2 linked regions of the Oryzias latipes genome follow. The protein of the gene in region 2 purifies or fractionates together with the protein of the main gene of each other region. This does not show direct contact. Links are inferred from orthologs where the notes say so. Each region holds a gene or a part of one and is shown on either strand. Other genes may lie near its edges. The genes, in order: hadhb and glypican-1.

Region 1 (9,862 bases), on a different chromosome or scaffold from region 2:
CTAACTCTTAAATTGATGCACGCTTCCCAGCATCACTTCCTTTTTTGAAGTAAGAAAATTAGTAGTTCTATTTAAATATTTTCCTTAGAATCAAACTGATTTCCAAACCTTTATGAAAAATGTTTAATACGTTTGGAACAGCTTTTTTGTCAAATTGTGATTTCGCTAAAGTGGATTGATCCTTTTTAAACACCGTCCAAATTTAAATGATGATGTCACTTCCTTCTGTTGTCCCCCAGCTGCTCGCCCTCCCCAGACGCCACCATCTACTGTTATCCCTGCTCTTGGGGTGACTGTCCTGCTCCGAATCCGGCTAGTCCTGAGCCTGCATCCTCCATCCCTGCAGAAAGCTCCACCAATCCCAAGCCGGCGCAGGCCACCTGGGCGGAGCCATGGGCGGACTCCTTCCCCTCCTCCGTACCCAGACTCAGACCTCCACCTCCACAGAGTCGATTCGCTCCTTTTGGTGCCTTGAACCCCTTCAACCGTCAGTCCCCCTGCCCTTCACCTGAGCCGGCGGTCAGCCCCGCAACAGATTTTTCCAGAGGTGCTGAGGGGGGTGGGACACCCTCCGGGGTCACGGAGGGACCGTCCCTGCCGCCTGACCCCACCTGGCGGCCGCCGGCCGACCTTTCCGCTTTGTCCCTGGAGGAGGTCTCTGCGTGCTTGCGGTTCATCGGCCTTCCCGAGGCAGCGGTGGGCGTTTTCCAGAGGGAGCGGATTGACGGCAGCCTGCTGGTTCAGCTGACGGAGGACATCCTGTCGCACGATTTCCACCTGAGCCGACTTCACGTGACCAAAATCACACAGTTCATCCAGGGCTGGAGGCCCAAAATCTGAAAGCCCTGCTTAATGTGCCTTCTACTGTGACCCACTGACTGCTGAGCCCCAAACAAAGGGAAAGAACGCCCCCTTGTGGGCAAACAAAAGAAGTGACTCTTGACTCCCAGACTGGAAAAAAAAAAGCATCTTAGTCAGATTTTACACACAATTTTAAGTTTTTTAATTTCCTATTATTTGCACCTCAGTAGATGTTCATTTATTTCAAATTAAATAAAGTTATAATGTGAGTTTGACGGGCATTTAAAACACGCAGTGCTGTTTATTTAAGCCATTCTGTGCTTTGGAGCAGAGTTTTTATCAGAGCCCCCTTTTATGGGTTTTAGGTATCCAATACACTAAAACGCTGACATGAAGTAACACATAGATTTCTCCGGATGTACCTCAGACAGCTTGTTCAGAAATACTTGATTTAGGAATGCATAAAAATAAATGTAATCCAACTGAAAACAGTCTTCTTTCCTCGGTTTTTTTCTTCATTTATTTTTATTTCATACACTAAATAATAAACGGGTTTATAAAAAAAATCTCTCCAAAATAGAGAAAGAATCAATAAAAAATTGCTAACCATTTAAAAAAGTGTTTAGACACTTATGATCATGTAGTTTGTTCTTTAAGTCTCTCACACTGTGAGTGTAAGTGTTCCCAGTGGTCTTTTTAATCATGATGGTGTCGTTTTTAGCCAAAAAGAAAGGAGGACGTCGTTTCTGGACATAGTTTTTGATATTTCTAGCACTGTCTGGTTTCATCAACCCCACTTCCTTTGAGTGTGGAATGTATTAGTACCCGGCCATTAACATTTATTCACTTCCTCTGTTTATGTCTCTGCTTTGGAACATCTTTGCCTTGTGATGTTAATGTGTGAAACCCGACTGGACCCAACAGGTCTGACATTAGGAGAAGATAATCCCTTGGTTCCTTTGTTTCTTTGTTTCTATACTGAAGGAAAACATGTTAATGCCAAGCGGTGCCCACCCAAGCCTAATTTGAAATCAACACTCCTCAATTCTCCCAAAGGAACCTGGACTCAAAGATCCGAGCGAAACATAAAAACGAGTTTTTTAGATGGCTGAAGGCTGAAATCCCTCCACTTTTTGTCCAATAGCTAAACATCACTGCTTCTTTCAAAAAAGCAGAACGTGAATAAGATCATAGCCAGAGGGTGCACCAGCTGTTGTTGGAGCCACCATCTTGACTTCATGTTGACATTATCAGCTCATGAAAGCCCAGAAATGACTGTCTTGACCTTCTTATACTCAACTGAAGCTTGGCAGCCACTTGCTAAAGACTGTAGGGGTTTCACGCCTTTGTGTTAGGCCCTGATTAGTAATAGAGAGCATGTCCGCACCATTTCAAACAGTCTCTGAGACTTACCTGCTCCAGGCAGCAAGACCTCAGGTGCGGAGGTCACATGCTGGACACCATCCTTCCAAACTAAGGAGTGCTGCTGGAACCACCTCCTGAACGTCTGAGGAAGAATGCGGCTTGGTCTCTGTGAAACGAGCTCTGCAGTCCTTCCTGCATATTCAAAGATGAAAGCTGTCGCGCGATCACGAAAGCAGTGGGTGGGAGGAGCTCGCCAGGTGGGTCACAGGTTCAAATCCCACAGAGATTGTGTCCTTCATCAAGATACATTACCCATTATGCCAGTTGACTGTAAGCAACTTGAAAAGTTACTGTAAAAATATATCAAAAAAGTAAGTAAAAAGCAGACACGATTTAAAGTGTGCAGAGGTTTGGACGCATCCAACCCTCAGATCAACCAGAGGCTTTCATGTTTGGACCAAAAGCCTTGGTCAACTGAACTCATATATATATATATATATATATATATATATATATATATATATATATATATATATATATATATATATAAACATAAACATATAACAAAACCCCACGGCTTTTGTACAGGTCAGCCCCATATGAGTTCAGTTGACCAAGGCTTTTGGTCCAAACATGAAAGCCTCTGGTTGATCTGAGGGTTGGATGCGTCCAAACCTCTGCACACTTTAAATCGTGTCTGCTTTTTACTTACTTTTTTGATATATTTTTACAGTAACTTTTCAAGTTGCTTACAGTCAACTGGCATAATGGGTAATGTATCTTGATGAAGGACACAATCTCTGTATATATATATATATATATATATATATATATATATATATATATATATATATATATATTCATAGATTTCCTTTTACATGATATGTTGAAATTATATTCTTGGATTGTTTCCTAACTCCAGTTTTTCTTTTCTTTTCTTACATTTAAAAACAGCTGATTTGAATAAAACAACAACCCAAAAACTACTTTTGTCATCATCATTTCCAGCAGGCTCTGCTGCATCCACTCGGAAACATGCTCGCATTCTGATTAATCACAGGTGTCAGCGTGAAGGCTGAGACAAGCAGTCAGGGCTGTCATAAACATAATGTGTGACGCCCCGTTTGTGCATACGTCTCCCACAAACACACACTTTTGGCAGCTGGAGTCCTACAACTGCCACATCATCCTGAGCCAGCAGCTGACGGGAGTTCTGGCTGGATGGAGAGAGGGGTAAAAAAATGGAAGAGTCAGTCTGTCAGAAGGCCAGAGATGTGGCTGGTTTATGCTGATTTCGGCTGGTTTAACGCCGTCCCCAGAGAATGTAAACACCATGGCACAACTGCACTTTAAAGTGAGGAAAGGTCTTCCCTTTCTCTGAGCTTAAGAGCAGAAAATATGATCGCTTGAAGGAAAAAACAACAGAAAAACATGTTTTCACTGCACAAAAATAAAAGTAACATTTGAGTTTCCTTCATAATCTGACTCGGACAATCAGCAAAATGCATTTATCATAACTTATTACATTTTGATTTATAATAAGCAGATGAATAAGAGTAGTCTAAAAGTGTTCTTCAAAATAAAATAGGCATAACTAAACATCACATTTCAAGAAAAGATTAAATCAATTATAATAATAATAGTTATTATTATTATTACAGTAGTAATGTGGAGTTTGCATGTTCTCCCCGTGTATGTGTGGCTTTTCTCTGGGGGCTCCGTCTTCCTCCCACCGTCCTAAAACATGCTAGGTTCATTGGTTACTCTATGGGTGTGTGATTGTGGCCCTGTGACAGACTGGCCATCTGACCAGGGCGTCCCCTGCCTTCCCCCGCAAGTGGCAGGGATAGACTTCGGCCGCCCTGTGACCCCAAAAGGGATAAAAATGGATTAGAAGATGAATTATTTTTTTTAAATCATTTTTAAGCAAAAAACATTAGACGACTCAAAACATTTGTACAACGCTTTTTGCAAGTAGTGTTGAAATACAGCTAAGTTATATTTTAAAAATACGTTTTTGGTAATTTAAGAATAAGAGTTGTTTAATATTTTTATCCCCATAGAAAATTGTTATAATAATATTATGATTTTTTTAAATATTATTATTATTATTAGTAGTAGTAGTAGTAGTGGTAGTAACAGCAGAAGTAGTATACAAGTCATGGGTATTTACTTTTTTATAGTATTTTTTGATCAGACATGTATTTAAGCAGATATGGATTTCTGTTCAGGCACATGTTTGGACAGCTTAGGCATTGGTTGGGTCCTGTTCAGGAGTGTAGTCCTCTTGGATCACCGACAGGGAAGCAGAAGCTCCGTCATTCAGCACAAATAAAGGTAAGCGTAAAAGCAGCAGACTCTTTTAGCGTTTAAACTGAATAAAGCAACAATTTGAATTATTTTATCGTTTTACTTTTCTAAGTTTTCCGTTACCGAACCTGCCTGACACATACTTTAGCCACTATGCTAGCCTCCATCATGCAGCACACAACGACACCGCCGTCTATTTTATTTCACCAAAATATTTACATTTGGGTTAAAATGGCTGCTTCAGTCAATAAAGGTATCATAACTATTGATTGCGGTCGTATTTTTGGTCATTTTTGCAGCTGTCATTCCACAGGAGAGCAAAGTGGGTGAAGGGTCACAGTATGAAAGGGTGACCGTCAGACTGATGCGACGTTCACTTACATCAGGAAAATAAACTTTATACATTTCTTTTAGAAATAATCAGATTGTAATGTTTGATACTTACTGTACTGTGATCTAGTCCTCTACTTTGATCAGTTAACCAATATTGACTCATCAGCTATCATTTTTATGATTTAAGGTGGAAAGTTCTGGCTACCTTTCGTTAATTAGCTCTGAACGCAGCAGTGGCCGTGAACGCACCACAAACAATAGTTCACATAGGGGTTCTAGCATTTTTGGGGGGTAAGCTTGAGCTTTATGGGTCAAAGGAGAACAGAGCAGAGATTCAGAAGGAGACTAACTACTTTCTTTAACACAATAAATAGATAAATATGACTTTTCAACGAATATGTCAAAAATGATCTACAAAAATCACTGCGGAAACTCTGCCATAAAAAACATGTAGATAAATTATCTTAATACTAATAATCTAACATACTGGAATCCTAATTCAGCTATGATTACCGGATATATTAACATCTGCTAAATTCACCCCCAGAATGATGGTGGATTGTTAATCAGGTTTTTCTAGCATCAAGTCCAACGTTTGTTATTTCAATGTCATCGGCGACATCTATGGTGTTTAAAGGTTAGCAACAAAAGCAAATTATTTTTATGAACTTTATTCCTTTAATTCGGTTTAAATGCTGCCCATAACAATTTCTCCAAATTCTCTGATATCTGCAATCAGCTCCTGAAAATTTGAGTACAAATATTTATGTCCATTGATTTTCAATCTTTATTACTAGAGTACAGTGTAGCCAAATGCAGTTCAGGAAATGTAAATGTTACCCTAAAATTGCAGAATAATATAGGATTTTATTGGATAAACTAATCTGTGTACGCTACTGTCACAGGAAGTAAATAGATTTTCAAAGTAAAGTATCGTTGAAGGTCCTCATTTTTAAAGTACATCTATCAAGTGTTTTTCATAACGGTGATGTTTACATTCTGAAGTTAATCTGGAAGTTGACAGAAAAATCTTTGATTTTGTCATATTTGGAATTGACAGTTACCGTTTCTAGTATAATACGTTGAATTTAAAATCCGTTTTCAATAAAGTCCAAAAATCGGAGAGTTCCCGAAAACCCAGATGAGTCCGAACTTCTCCGTTGTTTCCTTCACGGCTGCAGGTTTTTCCTTTCAGAGTAAAATGGCTTCCATGCTGCTGCGGCCCACTGCCGCCGCCTCCTCCTGGGCGTCGCGACTCGGTGAGTTTTGTCACAGCCTGGTGATCGGGTCTTCTTGCTCTGGTTTCTCCTTAAATCTGTGAATCACCGTGTCTCCCAGGAGCCCGCCCCCTCAGTGTGACGGCCCCTCTTCAGGCTCAGGGTAAACATATTCACACTACTGAATGTGACTGTCCCTTGGTTGGATCTGAAGTCGCACTTGTTCATTTGTTTTTAGCCCAGACAAAGAGCAAGAAAACCCTGGCCCGTCCCGGAGTGAAGAACATCGTTCTGGTGGAAGGAGTCCGAACGCCGTTCCTCTTGTCTGGAACCACGTACGTTCCTTCTTCAGGATGAAGCTCTTTACCCTGCAGATAACATTGCTTTCACGATGTGTTCAACGTTTTTCAAAACGATATTCATCAGGTTTGAAAAACATTGTCTTTTGTTTCCAGGTATGCTGACATGATGCCTCATGACCTGGCCAGAGCCGCTCTGCAGTAAGTTCCTGCTTAGGTTTAGGCTTTTCCTGGTATCAAGAAGCTAGGTTGGGTAGTTCGGTTTTAATGTATTTTGAATCAGAAACACCCTAAAGATTAGTTTTACATAATAATATATAATCATGATTGCAAATGAGCTTTCATTTTTTATTTGGGAACAAACAAACTTCTTCCAGGTCTTACAAACTTGTCAGAAACGATTGAATGACTGGACTGTTTCCTGCGATGTTACGATCGTGTTCACCTCTGGGAATATCCCTTCAGGGGTCGCCACAGCCAATCAGCTTTCACAGACTCGGACCGGTGGTTTGGCTGAGAGTTTCTACGCCAGATACCCTTCCTGACACAACCCTGTATTTTCAAGGCACAGGGAGACCCAGATAGGCAGAAGCATGAAGGATCTTGTCTAAGGACCCACACTGGATTTTTTTTTAGCTCATTGCACGCCCCGGGAAGTAAACCCAGGTTTCCTGCGTGCCAGCCAATTGCCCCAAAAATACCATCCAGGCCGAGATGTTACGATTAGAATATAGAATTATATGTACTGAAATACCTATAAGTAATAAACTAAACACACTTGTATGTCAGTCAATGTTATCAGGGAACAAATGAAATCCTGGAAAGGAAAAACAGGTTGCTAAGGAAAAGTTTCCGAATGAAAATCCCTTCAGATCTTCATCAGACCCAGACATTAAAAAACCACTACGGTTGCTATGGTGAACCACTTTCATAGAAGTTGCCAAGCTGAATCAAAGTTGACCTTATCTCTCATTGTGTCGTACAGAGATTGAACAAAGTTTGTTTTTTATGTCGCTTGATTTTTTTTTGGGTTGTGATGCTGTATGTTACCATGGAAACCACTCAGAGTTAGACTTGTCAGTGTATGTAAAGTTAGTAATGGAAAAATCAGAGCGTTTTTTTCTTAGAGACCAAGTACCTGTTAGTTTTTAGACGAAACATTTCGAGGAATGATGGGTAATGATGGTATAAGAAGACAGACGTTTAAATAATGACCGAATAAATGGAGAACTTTTTTTTGGTTTCAGGGGTCTGCTGAACAGAACCGGGATCCCCAAAGACGCCGTGGATTACATCATTTATGGAACGGTCATTCAGGAAGTGAAAACCAGCAACGTGGCCAGAGAGGTAGGACACTTCCATGCGGGCGTCAGCTGCTCGCCGTTTTTCCTTTGACCATTTTTGCCGTTTCCTGCAGGCAGCTCTGGGGGCAGGCTTCTCGGACAAGATTCCAGCTCACACCGTCACCATGGCCTGCATCTCCTCCAACCAGGCCATGACTTCAGGTGAGCTCCAGGTCAGCGGGAGAGCCGCTGTCGTTGGGATTCAGCGGGACTTGAACCTTTTTTTCTGTGCAGCTGTCGGGCTGATTGCTGCAGGTCAGTGTGACGCCGTCGTCGCAGGCGGGGTGGAGTTCATGTCCGATGTTCCCATCCGGCACAGCCGCAAGATGAGGAAGACCATGCTGTCCCTGAACAAGGCCAAAACTCTGGGGCAGCGGCTTAGCCTGATCGGCAGCATCCGACTGGCTCACCTGTCCCCTGAGGTAAACCCAGCTCTGACTCTGCAAATCTCACCTGCGACTCTTCCTAAACCCGGAATCTCCCCCGTTTGCAGCTTCCCGCCGTGGCGGAATTCTCCACGGCAGAAACCATGGGCCACAGCGCTGACCGGCTGGCCGCTGCGTTCGGCGTCACTAGGCTGGAGCAGGACGAGTTCGCTCTGCGCTCCCACAGCCTGGCCCAAAAGGCTCAGGACGGCGGGCTGCTGGAGGACGTGGTCTCCTTCAAAGTACCAGGTGAAGCTGAGCTGTTGGGAATGTGTTTACTTGAAACACTCAAAAGATTTAGGAAAAACATCTGAACTTTGGATTTATTTGTTTATTTTTAAGGTAATTTCCAGTACTTATTAGTGATAATAAATAAATAGATAAAAATGTAATAAGATAAATGAGACTATATTTTTTAGCTTTAACATTAAAGCTTTATCTTTCATAAGTGTTCCTCCCAGTGGTCTTTTCATTATTGCCATTTTGACCCAAAATCCAAAAACCTGACTTGTTTTCTAGGCCATCGTTCCTGCAGAGCAGCAGGAGTTCATTAGACCATTCCCCTTTGAGTTGTGGGCGGGACCAGTTTTTCTTTATATATTTCCTCCATCATCAGAAAATTAGCACACAAACGTGATAAAAACACAAAATTTTCATCGGAGAGGGTCTATAAGCTTTTGTCTGACATAAATGGCTTGTAGGTCTTTTTTTTTTCCTCCCATTTATTCACTTTCTCCTCTATTTTTAAAATTCTTTTAAAAATGAATGAAAATCTTAACAACTAGAATCTTTATTTGTGTCATCTAACCGTTGTTGATCGTGTGGATCATTTGGTCAAAGGTTACGTCTGTAAACGGGCTTTCCTCCTCCAGGTCGGGACATCGTTTCAAAGGACAACGGCATCCGGCCGTCCTCCATGGAGCAACTGGGAAAACTGAAGCCAGCCTTCATCAAGCCTCACGGCACAGTCACCGCTGCCAACTCCTCCTTCCTGGTAACAGCTTCATCTGAAGGATTTCATTTGATTGTCCTCCTCATCCTCACCTGTCCATGTATGTGCTGGTCGGCAGACGGACGGGGCCTCCGCTGTGCTCATCATGTCTGAGGAGAAAGCCTTGGCCATGGGCTTCAAGCCCAAAGCCTACCTCAGGTACCCGAGTCCTCTCAGTGAAGCAGAGCAGCAGGACCGCTTCAGAACCACCGACTCACAGCGTTGTGTTTTTCAGAGACTTCGTCTACGTCTCCCAGGACCCCAAAGATCAGCTGCTACTGGGGTGAGTGAGTGTGTCACCGTCTCCACTCACGGCTGGACAGTTTGTTTGTTTGTGTGGAGTCCATAAGGATCTGTTTGACTTACAGGCCGACCTACGCCACGCCAAAAGTTCTTGAGCGGTCCGGCTTGTCATTGAGCGACATCGACGTGTTTGAGTTTCACGAAGCATTCGCCGTAAGATTTTTGTCTAGATCCAAACTTTTCAGTTTTTCTTTTAGGTAGTTTCTTTTTCAGCCTGGTTTCTATAGCAACATCCTTGTTTGTTCCTCAGGGTCAGATCATGGCGAATTTGAAGGCGATGGACTCTGACTGGTTTGCTCAGACGTACATGGGCAGGAAGTCAAAGGTGAAAATTTATGTGGTGCTTTTATTTTTTGTTCAAGAAAACATTTTCTAAACATTTTAGGTGAGGATTAGTTTCAAATTTTTTATTCAAAATGTAAAATATTCTCTTTTGGTGGCTTTTATTGAATAACTTCTATATTTTCACAAGTAA
Region 2 (9,825 bases):
TGATGTCAGAGATGATCGGTCCAGTTTGTGTCTGTTGTTATGTATATTATTTTTATTCATGTCAATCAAAATGTGTAAACCCCTGAAGGTGCTGTTTACCAGAGACCCTTTTTTTTGTTTTTATGTGACGGAACAGAGCATAAAGGTCACAGGTGGACCAGCCTGAGTGACTGTAGTCATGCAAACGTTGTGCCAGCTTCTCATGATGAAGAGGGAGCTGAGTTGTCAGGAGGGAAGCTTTCGATTTACCACTCAATCTACATTCCAGCCCTCATCTACAGTCACAAGCTCTCACTGAGGCCAAAAGAGTGATATTGTGCATAAAAAGGACACAAATGAAGATACATTACACATACACTTAACACATGTCAGAGCTGGGCTTACAGCTAAAATATTTCAGTATAAGCCCATAAAATATTTGCCATCTTAGATGTCTCCCCAGACCGCAAAAGGAAATGTCCAATTGTTTTGATGAAACACAACTAACAAAGGATTCAGGAAATCCCTGGAGGCCAGTATGTGAGCAACAGCTGAACATCTCAAAGTTTTAAATAGCATGGAATAACCAAAGTTAAGGATGATGAATTTACTGTCATATCAGAAAAAACAAAGCTCATTTTGTTACAGTTGTATGACACCTGTGTTTCCAACTTTATTTCATCATATGTTAAAAAAAAGATCAACTTTATCAGGGCAGTGATGTTGAAAATGTGGAGGAGAATTTGCTGTTTTTACTTTCATTATTTGGTATAGCTCTGTGAAAAGAGATTAAACAGCACACATGTTTTCAATGTTTAATGCCTCCATCTCAATAAAGAAAAGTAAAAAAATCCAATGAGGTTTTCTAACGCTTTAAGCTTTGGTACAAGCTAAGAACTATTGTTATGCATTTGTAGACCTACTCTTAATTTTAGTGAAAAACAGCTGTCTTCAAAGCATTCCAGTACTTTTTACTCAAGTTTACTATACTTAACACTCCATATTTTCAGTCACAAGGCAGTACTTAGTGACTAGTTTGCATGGATTCTCAGCAGGGCTGGTGAGCAGCGCTCCCACTGTATCATTAGTCAAACGCTGGTTAGAAATGATGCTCCAAAAACACCAGAAAGGGCTGTCAGGCTGTTGCAACCAGCAATCAACAACAACATAAATAAAGTATGGGAAAATCAATTCCAAAATGTGACTGGCCTTCCTGCAGATGTCTCACACATTTAGTTCCTTTGAATAGACTTATGTGACACTGAGGATCTAAGTCTTATTGGCTTCCAGCTGCTTTCAAAGAGTGCCTGCCATCTTTATCGCTTTAAGAGAGACACAGAGAGATAAAGAATGTGATTTCCTGGAAGACAAAAAAGATCAAGTCTATAATGATAGGGTGGGACAGGGAGGGGGCAGCGCAAAAAGGAAACAGGCCCACATCATTAAAATCAATCATCCATGTTTTTTAGTAAACACTGCCCAAAAAAGTTATCTCCAAAACTGCTTACCCTCTGCAGAGTTGACTCATTGTATCCGTTCTCTAACCATCAATCAATTAACTTTGTTCCCCATGAACTTTATTTTTAAAAAGCATGGCCTTTATGCACAGCAATGGTCCACTAAGCATTGCTTCGGCACAATGATAACAAACAGCTCACTGTTATCTTAGTTCTTCTGCATCGCTTTCCTCAAGCCAAAGTTACTTAAGAACTTACAGCTATTCTGAATGTTTTATGAGCCGTGTCTACTTAAAAGCAATGTCTTGAAATTGTTTAACACCATTTTTTAAGCCTAATCCAACAGAGAAAAGATAATTATGTTGGGATTTTTCTTCTACTTTAACTCAAGTATTTCAAAAAAGTTGTTTTTCAAAGTCAGTAACGAAATAAAACTGTACAGATAAATACATAGAATCAAATTATTTTTCAGTACAAATGGAATACAATAACGTAAAATAAAAAGCACACTTTTCTTTGTAAATCTGCAGATAAAAACTGCATTTGCATATATTTCCAGGTTTGATGTACCATTTAAAACAAAACCTAATGGGTTTATAACAGCTTTTGTCTCCAGGATTTTTTTTCCATCAGCTGGATGTCGGACATTTAATTGCTTTAACTGAACATAATTTTCAGACTTGGGAAGCAAGTGGCTCTCCTCGAATCTTGCTGGTGTGCTCAGCATGTGACCTTGAGTCAGGCTCAGCCAATACATTAAGTTGATCAAACCCTGGTGTCACAGAAGGAAATACCCTCTGCAAATGTCAGGGAGCATCCACAATATCCAAGCAGCTCATAATTTCAAGGCATAAATCAAACATTTCATGTTTTACGATGTGTTCATGCCAGGCTACGGCTTATGAATAGCTGATGTGATTTATTCATATAAAATCAAGTAAATGTGACACTGAGCACAATATTCTGAATGTAGAAAAGCAAATTTGTCCTTGTTTCATTCCTCCATGCCTAATTCCAAGATTTTCTCTCTTACGCTAATATAGTGACTTCATTCTTAAGTAAACTCCACACCATTGATCGAAAAAAGAGGGATTGCTGGCGTAATGACATGACAGATTTGCTCTTTAAAGCAGCTTGGATTGCAGGCATTTGGAAAAAAGTTGGGTCTCTAACAAAACTAGAGCTGGTATAAATTTTGTCAAATGTTTTATTCAGTGTGGTCAATCAAGTAAATTGCCAGTGTCCACTGCCACTTGCCCTCACTGCAGTGAATTGAAATGAAAGGATATACAAGATTATGCTTTCATTACATTACTGCCCCTCCTTCAAATTTAATAATCGCAGTGTAGATACTGAGCTCATTTGTGAATTATAATGCCAACTGCTGTGTGACAAATAATTGAAGTTCAAGCAAATCTTGGGTCCTTGGTAGATGTTTTCTAATAATTTTCTAATAAACTCTTCCAAACATTGCTGTTGATGAGTTATATCCCATAGTTATCTCCAAAAGGACTGAATCAGCACCAAACCAGAAAAAGTGTTTGCGTCGGGAGGATATCACAGAGATTCAGCCACAATGGAACCAGGATGATACTCCATTCAGTTATATTTATTTGAACGGCCAGGTGCACACGGTGCTTTATGATCATGAGGCAAGAACTTTTCTCACTGGCAAACTTTAGGATTCATTATCTTAGCCTGACACTGAACGTGAGGGCACTAAACTAAATGTACACATAGAGGGCAATAATCGCTGTACTTTTTGTATTGGGTTATGCCTTGAAATTGGCCAAAGTGGTTCATACTTTGGTAAAATACCATTGCAAGAAACCCCTCAACACTAGGAATTCCAGTTTACCAGATCCTCGTTTTAGAATAATGAAAAAGAATAAAAAGTTCAAAGTTCCTTGAAATCCTTCTGAATGAACTCACAGTGGGGTGGATGTAAGGTCTCACATCTTGTCTATGCTCGCTGGTGTTCATAGCATTGTAACCAGGAACTGTGTGTGTGTATTGGTGTGAATGCTTGGCACTGAATTCCACAGGAGGCAAACATGCAATCATCTGAACACCAGAGAAACTTGTGACTGACATCAGACCACGACTGACCAATCGGGCAACCTTAAATTTACAATATTTTGTGGATGACTAAATGTCTGACAACTTAATATGCAGGCAATTGCCGGTACCTGTTTGAAAAGAGGTCAACCCAATTGCAGAATGTTAGAGTGAAAGTTACACTGAAAAAAGCGTAACTTCTTGAAGTTCTCAAAAATATTAAGATGAGAGTTTGAGGAGACTTTATTATATTTTATTTTCACCCTTTTCCTGAGATCAAACAGCCAGACAGTGTGTGGCGAGTTTGCTCTGTCTCTAAGTCTTTTCAAAGAGCTGTTTCATCTCATGAGAGCAAAAGAGGTTCTGTTTTATGGCACCATGTGATACGAAATGATTGCCACACATTAGAGATGAATAGATAAATGTATTTTGTGCTTTCTTTAAACACATTTTAAAAATAGATGGTTTTAGAACATTATAGTCAGGTCATCAAGTCCTCAGCCTCCAATTTGATTAACTTTAACTCAACAAATTGAAATTAAAAAGGTTGTGGAGGAATAGCAATTTTCAGAAGTTATTAAAAGCTCCGAATAGTTTTATAACCTCAGCAAGCACTAGTTTATTTTTGGCCATAAATTTTAGTTTATTTTCTTGCATAAAAGAGCTTGAATTTCATTGAAGACTGCGCTCAACAGCTGAAAGAACCTACCTGATATTTCGGACAGAGGGGCATTATCCAGAGAGAACCCCTTTGCACCGTAAAACTGACGGATGTCCGAGCAACTCCGGGCTTTGCTGGTGCCTTTGTCCCCGCAGGCTGGTGCTGTTAGAGAGCACAGTGCCAGCGCCGCTATAATCAGAGATTCCATTCCTGTCGACCTTTCAGGATGCAGACTTAGTGAAATGACAATCCGAGTGGCTGACGAGGATACTGAGTTTAGTGCACGGAGAGGGGGACCGGCGCGTTTCTTGGTGCTGCTGTGCGTAAAAACCTCCTCTTTTGCTCCCCGTCTGACGCTGTGGCCCCTCTACGCGCCGCCGCACGGCACAGTGGCGATTCCTCACAGATGTCCCGTTTCTTCTTGAAGCTGTTCGGGACAACGCACTTTTTATTTTCCTCTCCAAAAGAACTATCCCCTCTTGTGGTACTCTGAATAAGTCCAGATCTCGTTTATCCACCGCTATGGTTTTGGATCATCTACAAAGGGAGAAGGAAATGGATGAAAGAAGAATTAGGTTACGCGTTTACAGCTGAAATAATCTATTTTAAGTCACGTCAGAAAATAGCAACGCTCCGGCTGACGCCGTGCAGCCTGGTTCTGTTGACTCACGCCTACCGGCTCGAGCGGCCCCGGGGATCTGAGTAACGAGGTGCGCATATGCAGATACCGCAGCTCACGGGGTTGCTGAGCGATGCTGTGCCAGCGCTGCTACTCTGTGAAATGAGGGAGAGGCGGAGAGCAGCAGCACAGTAAGAGGAGAGAGGCGAGGAGCTGCTGAGGGTTGAAGCAACTCTTCAAGTTTGGTTTCATCCTGTGTCGCTCAAATACTATTTTTAAAGATGTTCCCCGTCCCTGTCTAAGATCTGTGTCATTCTGTGGCACATTCACGGCTGCGGGTGATGGATCATAAGGTGTTTTGGTCCACAGCAGAGGAATGTGCTCTGCGCGCCTTGACAGCTTGATCACGACCGGCCAGGTGTCACAGGCTGTGGGCGTGCCTGCCAGCCCTTTTCCCACCCGGAGCTGTAATGTTGGAAAGCAGTGAATGGATGAGCCAGATCACTCCTCAAGATGCAATTAATCGGCCAACAAGTCACTATCTGCCCCGTGATTTTCCCGGATCACCTGGCTCTGCCTGAATGCCTTCATTATCCTCAGTTTCTGTGCGCGCTGTCTCTGTTATTTGATGACACGTGTCTGACTGTGAACTTTGATCATGTCAGGAAAAGTCCAACTTTTTAGATGCGTTGCCTTTCGGTTTTGCTGTAACATAGTGGCCTCAAAGCACAAAGACAAGTAAGGAGAACATCTTTAACATCATGTCTGCAGTTTTTGATGTTTTCTGTTTCATTTTTAGATCTACAGAGCCTTTCCAAATTATTAAAATATCATGAAAAATCTATTAATTTCTATAATTCTATTCCAAAAAATAATTCATGTATAGAATATAGATTAAGGTCCCTCTGTTTACTTGATTTCAAGATTTGCTTTGACATAAACTGGGCTTCTAGCTCATGAATCCCATGAAAACTGAATTTCAGAAAATTCAAATACTGTGCAGAAATCACTGTTTACTTCTCAGTTTTTGCACAAAAAAAAGATAAAGACAGAGATTATGATCACATCAAGTCAGTCAAAATAAAGTTTTAACAAAATAATATGTAAATAGTAGTATGGGCAGCGGCCAGGTCCTGATGGAAGATAAGATCTGCACCTTCATCCAGATCCTCAGAAGAAAAGCTGAAGTCCTCTAGAACATTCTGGTAGAGTCTTGCAGTGATTTTGGATTGAAGAAACCAGATTTTACCAACACCAGTGCTGGACACTGTATCCCAAATCATGACAGACTGGATTTTTCACACTGGACCTCAAGCAGCTTTGGTTCTGCTCCAAACCAGTCTTCCTCCAAACCCTTGGACCTTGATTCCCAAACAAAAGGCACACTTTTTTTTTCATCCGAAAAAAACATTTTGGACCACTGGCCAACAATCCAGTTTCTCTTTGTTTCCTCCATTGACGCAGGATCAGTAGTGGTTTGACCTGAGGAACCCGACAGTTGTAGCCCATCTCCCGAGTCTCCTATTATTCTCTTTCTGTTTTAAGCCAAAATACAAAGCTTTGGCAGAAAAGTGTATTTTCTAAAATAAAAGCAGAAGCCTTAATATCCAAGAAGAACTTTTTTTCTGATTTTCTTTCTTTCTAAGTTTCGTTCAACTGAATCTATGAGCTTTAGGCAGGTTGTGTCACATCGACTTCCCTTGTGATAAATACGTGTGAAATTGAACAAGACAGTGTTGGATGGTGTAACTCATGTGGGAGGTACTTCAAGTATTGTTTGCCAAGTAAGATGCCACAGCACATTATTAAACTGACACATAAAACACACACACATGCACACAGGTTATCTTCAAATATGAAGCAATAACAGGACAGAAAGCAAAAAGAAAAGAAAAAAAAGCGAACAAAGAAATGAAGTCATGAAGGAGAAAACCTCATGGCAGCAGGAGTCATTTCCTATCCCCAAATCATCGAATTTCTGGAAAGAAAAATTGTTTATGAGGACAACATGGCACTCTATAATTAGCTCGTCCTTTGTCACAGGTCAAAAACAAAGAGAGCAGCATCTCACAGAGTGACAAATGGCCACACTCACAACCCATTATCTGAAATGATTGGGCACGAATTGCATATTTATTCTGCAATGTGGAGTGTCTTCCTTGTTGCACTGTGGACGGTGCATTTGTGCCACGTTAAATCTGGCACATTATCATAATCATTTAGATAAATTTGAGAACTGTAGCCTAACAGCGGCGTACAACAGTCAGACAAACCTCTAATTTTGTGTGTGATGATTTTTCCTCCCTTTGCGGTGAAGGAAAATTGGCCGGCGTTAAGCACATGTGGCAAGAGGTTAATGAGTCTAGCAAGCTCAAAGCAAGTGTGGGACAACATGTCAGTTGGTATTATATATGGGTTTGTGAATACATGACCTTTGTGTGTATGTGGCAGTGGCAGTGTGAAATTTGAGTTTATGTGTCTGACTGCGTTCCACATGTGGTCATAGGTCGGTCAGGATGTTCAAGAACTGATTGGCCTTCTACTGTTTGGTTTGAGGATTATGCAATTAATGCTCAATAAAGCCGCAGAACAGCCATCTTTTTTGCGGGCTGCTTCTCATTGAAGTTTTATTGGCTCTGACCATGAAAGGCTGCTTAATGAGGAACAGGAAGCCCGGGGAAGTTCAGGAGACCGGCAGAATGGTAGCAAAGACAGAGGAATGAAGGGGGTGAGAGGCCATAAATAAGCAACAGTAAGTTGGAGTCCATGTGCAGTAATTTAGAGCTTAGCATTGTCAGGGACTGATGATCATTTCTAGAACTCTGCTGGATTTTAACTTTCATATACAATATTCTTTCAACATAGTGTGTATTCCTAAAAAAAAATGAAAAGGAGAGTTACAAAAAAACATTCCTTAAATCCTACTACAGTCATCTTTTAATGTATTTTAAATTGGTCCCCAGTGGTCTTTAAATTATGATTATGCTGTTTATACCCAATAAAACAGACAAAAAAATTGTGTTTTCTAGGACAAATTCTGCAGAGCGGCAGTACTTCTTTAGAAATTTGCCTCTGAGTTGTGGGCGGGACTCTTGGCACAGAGCAGCCCCAGCCTCCTTTCCCGTCATCCATAACTGAGCACTCTGTTCACACGCTCTCCCGCTGGCTTACAGCCCCTCACATCCCCAACTGATCATTATCGGTGCAACAAAAATTTGGCGAGCAATATTGAAGTTATCCAGCTGTACAGTTTAGATCCAGATGCCAGCATGGATGAGGACAACAAAGAGGTACATGGATTTAGTCGTCTGCACGCGGATACATCAGAATGCAAGGGAGCATGGAGCTTGTGGCTTTTCGATTGTACCACATCAAATAATATTTGTATAGCATTATTCGGACTGACATAACTCAAAGCGCTTAACATAAAAACATTTTCCAATTTTTAAAAACCCAAAGCAAGACAAAACTCATACAGTACAACGTCCAACCACCAATGCTCTACCTCGCCACGCAATCACAAACATAATAATGCATAAAATGATTCAGTATGATGTGAAGAAGAAATCCAGCTTAATACTTAAGTGGGGAAATTACTGTATATTTTTGGTACCTGTCCACCCCCCCACACACACCCATGTCCACAGGGGACACTTCTCCAGGATCCCCCAGATCAAAGCAAGAAGCCAGACTCTGGACATCCCTCTGCAGCAACGCTGTTATCTTTCGTATATCACAACTGCAAACTTTTTCAAACAACATTTTTTTTGTCTTCTGTTTCCTGATTCACAATAATTTGACTAAAGCAATATTCAGAAATGCAATTTTGAGCTGAACTTTCCTAAAATATGTCCTCTATCGTGAGAAAAATGCCAGGAAATTATTCTTAGTTTTGGTTCCAGCATAGTTAAAAAAATCTTACTCTTAGGAGCCTTTTCATATAGTTTAATTGTTTTTATTTTTTTGTCCACCCATATTTACAGGACCAACAATCATACAAGCTGTACAAAAATAATCATGTTATTTTCATTCTTTTTTTTGCAGGGCTCAGGAATATAAAAGCACAGAATGCTCTTAGTAAAGTCACAAATACAGTTTTATGTACATAAGCATCATTTTTAAGATGTAAAATGCAAAAACCAACACCTCCAACAAAACAGTTGTGATTCAGTGTTGTATAAAATGACCATCTATCAGCCTCAGCATGATTTGGCTGTAAATACCATTGTGCAGTTTTACAGATTTATTCCGTATTTATAGAGAGATCACTGTGTTATCTCTCTTAAACCAGTCTCACACAGGGCTCCTCACAGCCACTATTGATTCTTGATCCGCTGAGTTTTTGTATCAACACATTCACTATAAAGTTCTTTAGAGTGGGCACATTATTCTTCTAAATGAATATGTAAATATATCTATTTTGCTTTACCCTTTACCTCACATGATTACAAAATTACAAATTACAAAAATACAAGTTACAATTTATCTTCGGCTTTACTCCTGTGAATCATGAAGCTTGAGAGCCTGATGTTGTTGTTTTATGCAAACGCAGCCTCTGTATAGAGGAGAATCTTTCTCCAGCTGCTGAAGATAAGTGATGAGAGAAAAATAAGGAACTGCTGATAAGTGTAAAGGACAAGCAGATTAAAGTGAAGATTTTTTGTGAAAAAAAAAGGAAAACTTTAGTTTATTAAGTTTATCTTATAATAAATAAGATAAAAAGAGGAAAATTGATGAATCAGTCACTTTAAGAAGATGACAGATAAATGGGAAGGAAAAAGTAGCACAAAAACTGCACACATATTCAAGACAAAACATGTTAAAAGTAGAGAAAGAAAACAGTCAAAGTATTAGTTCTGGCAGAGCACAGGCTGTGGTGAATATAGGGTTATTGTGTGTTTTTATGCAGATCTGTTTGAAGACATTCTTTCCCTTTTTATTAATAATGCACATGAAATACACAAAGAAATAAATTTAAATGTAGAAATGATAACTTTTTGTATCTTAATAAGAGTCAGATTTTCTTTACATTTCTCACAGTTAGACAAAGT

The links.
Region 1: the proteins of glypican-1 (region 2) and hadhb purify together in Homo sapiens (co-immunoprecipitation; 3 studies listed by BioGRID and IntAct, counting the BioPlex papers as one, with this or other methods). This does not show direct contact. The link is inferred for Oryzias latipes from reciprocal best matches to the Homo sapiens genes GPC1 and HADHB.

The regions. Positions count from the first base shown.
Region 1 is NC_019882.2:19,091,352-19,101,213, reverse strand, and holds the start of hadhb (trifunctional enzyme subunit beta, mitochondrial), read left to right. Parts: upstream 1-4,350; 5' UTR 4,351-4,365; coding exon 4,366-4,503; intron 4,504-5,990; exon of another isoform or gene 5,991-6,004; coding exon 6,005-6,068; intron 6,069-6,147; coding exon 6,148-6,189; intron 6,190-6,264; coding exon 6,265-6,361; intron 6,362-6,481; coding exon 6,482-6,526; intron 6,527-7,572; coding exon 7,573-7,672; intron 7,673-7,742; coding exon 7,743-7,830; intron 7,831-7,902; coding exon 7,903-8,090; intron 8,091-8,161; coding exon 8,162-8,342; intron 8,343-8,965; coding exon 8,966-9,087; intron 9,088-9,163; coding exon 9,164-9,243; intron 9,244-9,319; coding exon 9,320-9,367; intron 9,368-9,452; coding exon 9,453-9,540; intron 9,541-9,637; coding exon 9,638-9,712; intron 9,713-9,862. Other genes in the region: garem2 (GRB2-associated and regulator of MAPK protein 2), read left to right, coding at 240-840. UniProt on the Homo sapiens protein: Mitochondrial trifunctional enzyme catalyzes the last three of the four reactions of the mitochondrial beta-oxidation pathway.
Region 2 is NC_019875.2:23,989,670-23,999,494, forward strand, and holds the start of glypican-1, read right to left. Parts: upstream 5,513-9,825; 5' UTR 4,832-5,512; intron 4,693-4,831; 5' UTR 4,364-4,692; coding exon 4,204-4,363; intron 1-4,203. UniProt on the Homo sapiens protein: Cell surface proteoglycan that bears heparan sulfate. Binds, via the heparan sulfate side chains, alpha-4 (V) collagen and participates in Schwann cell myelination.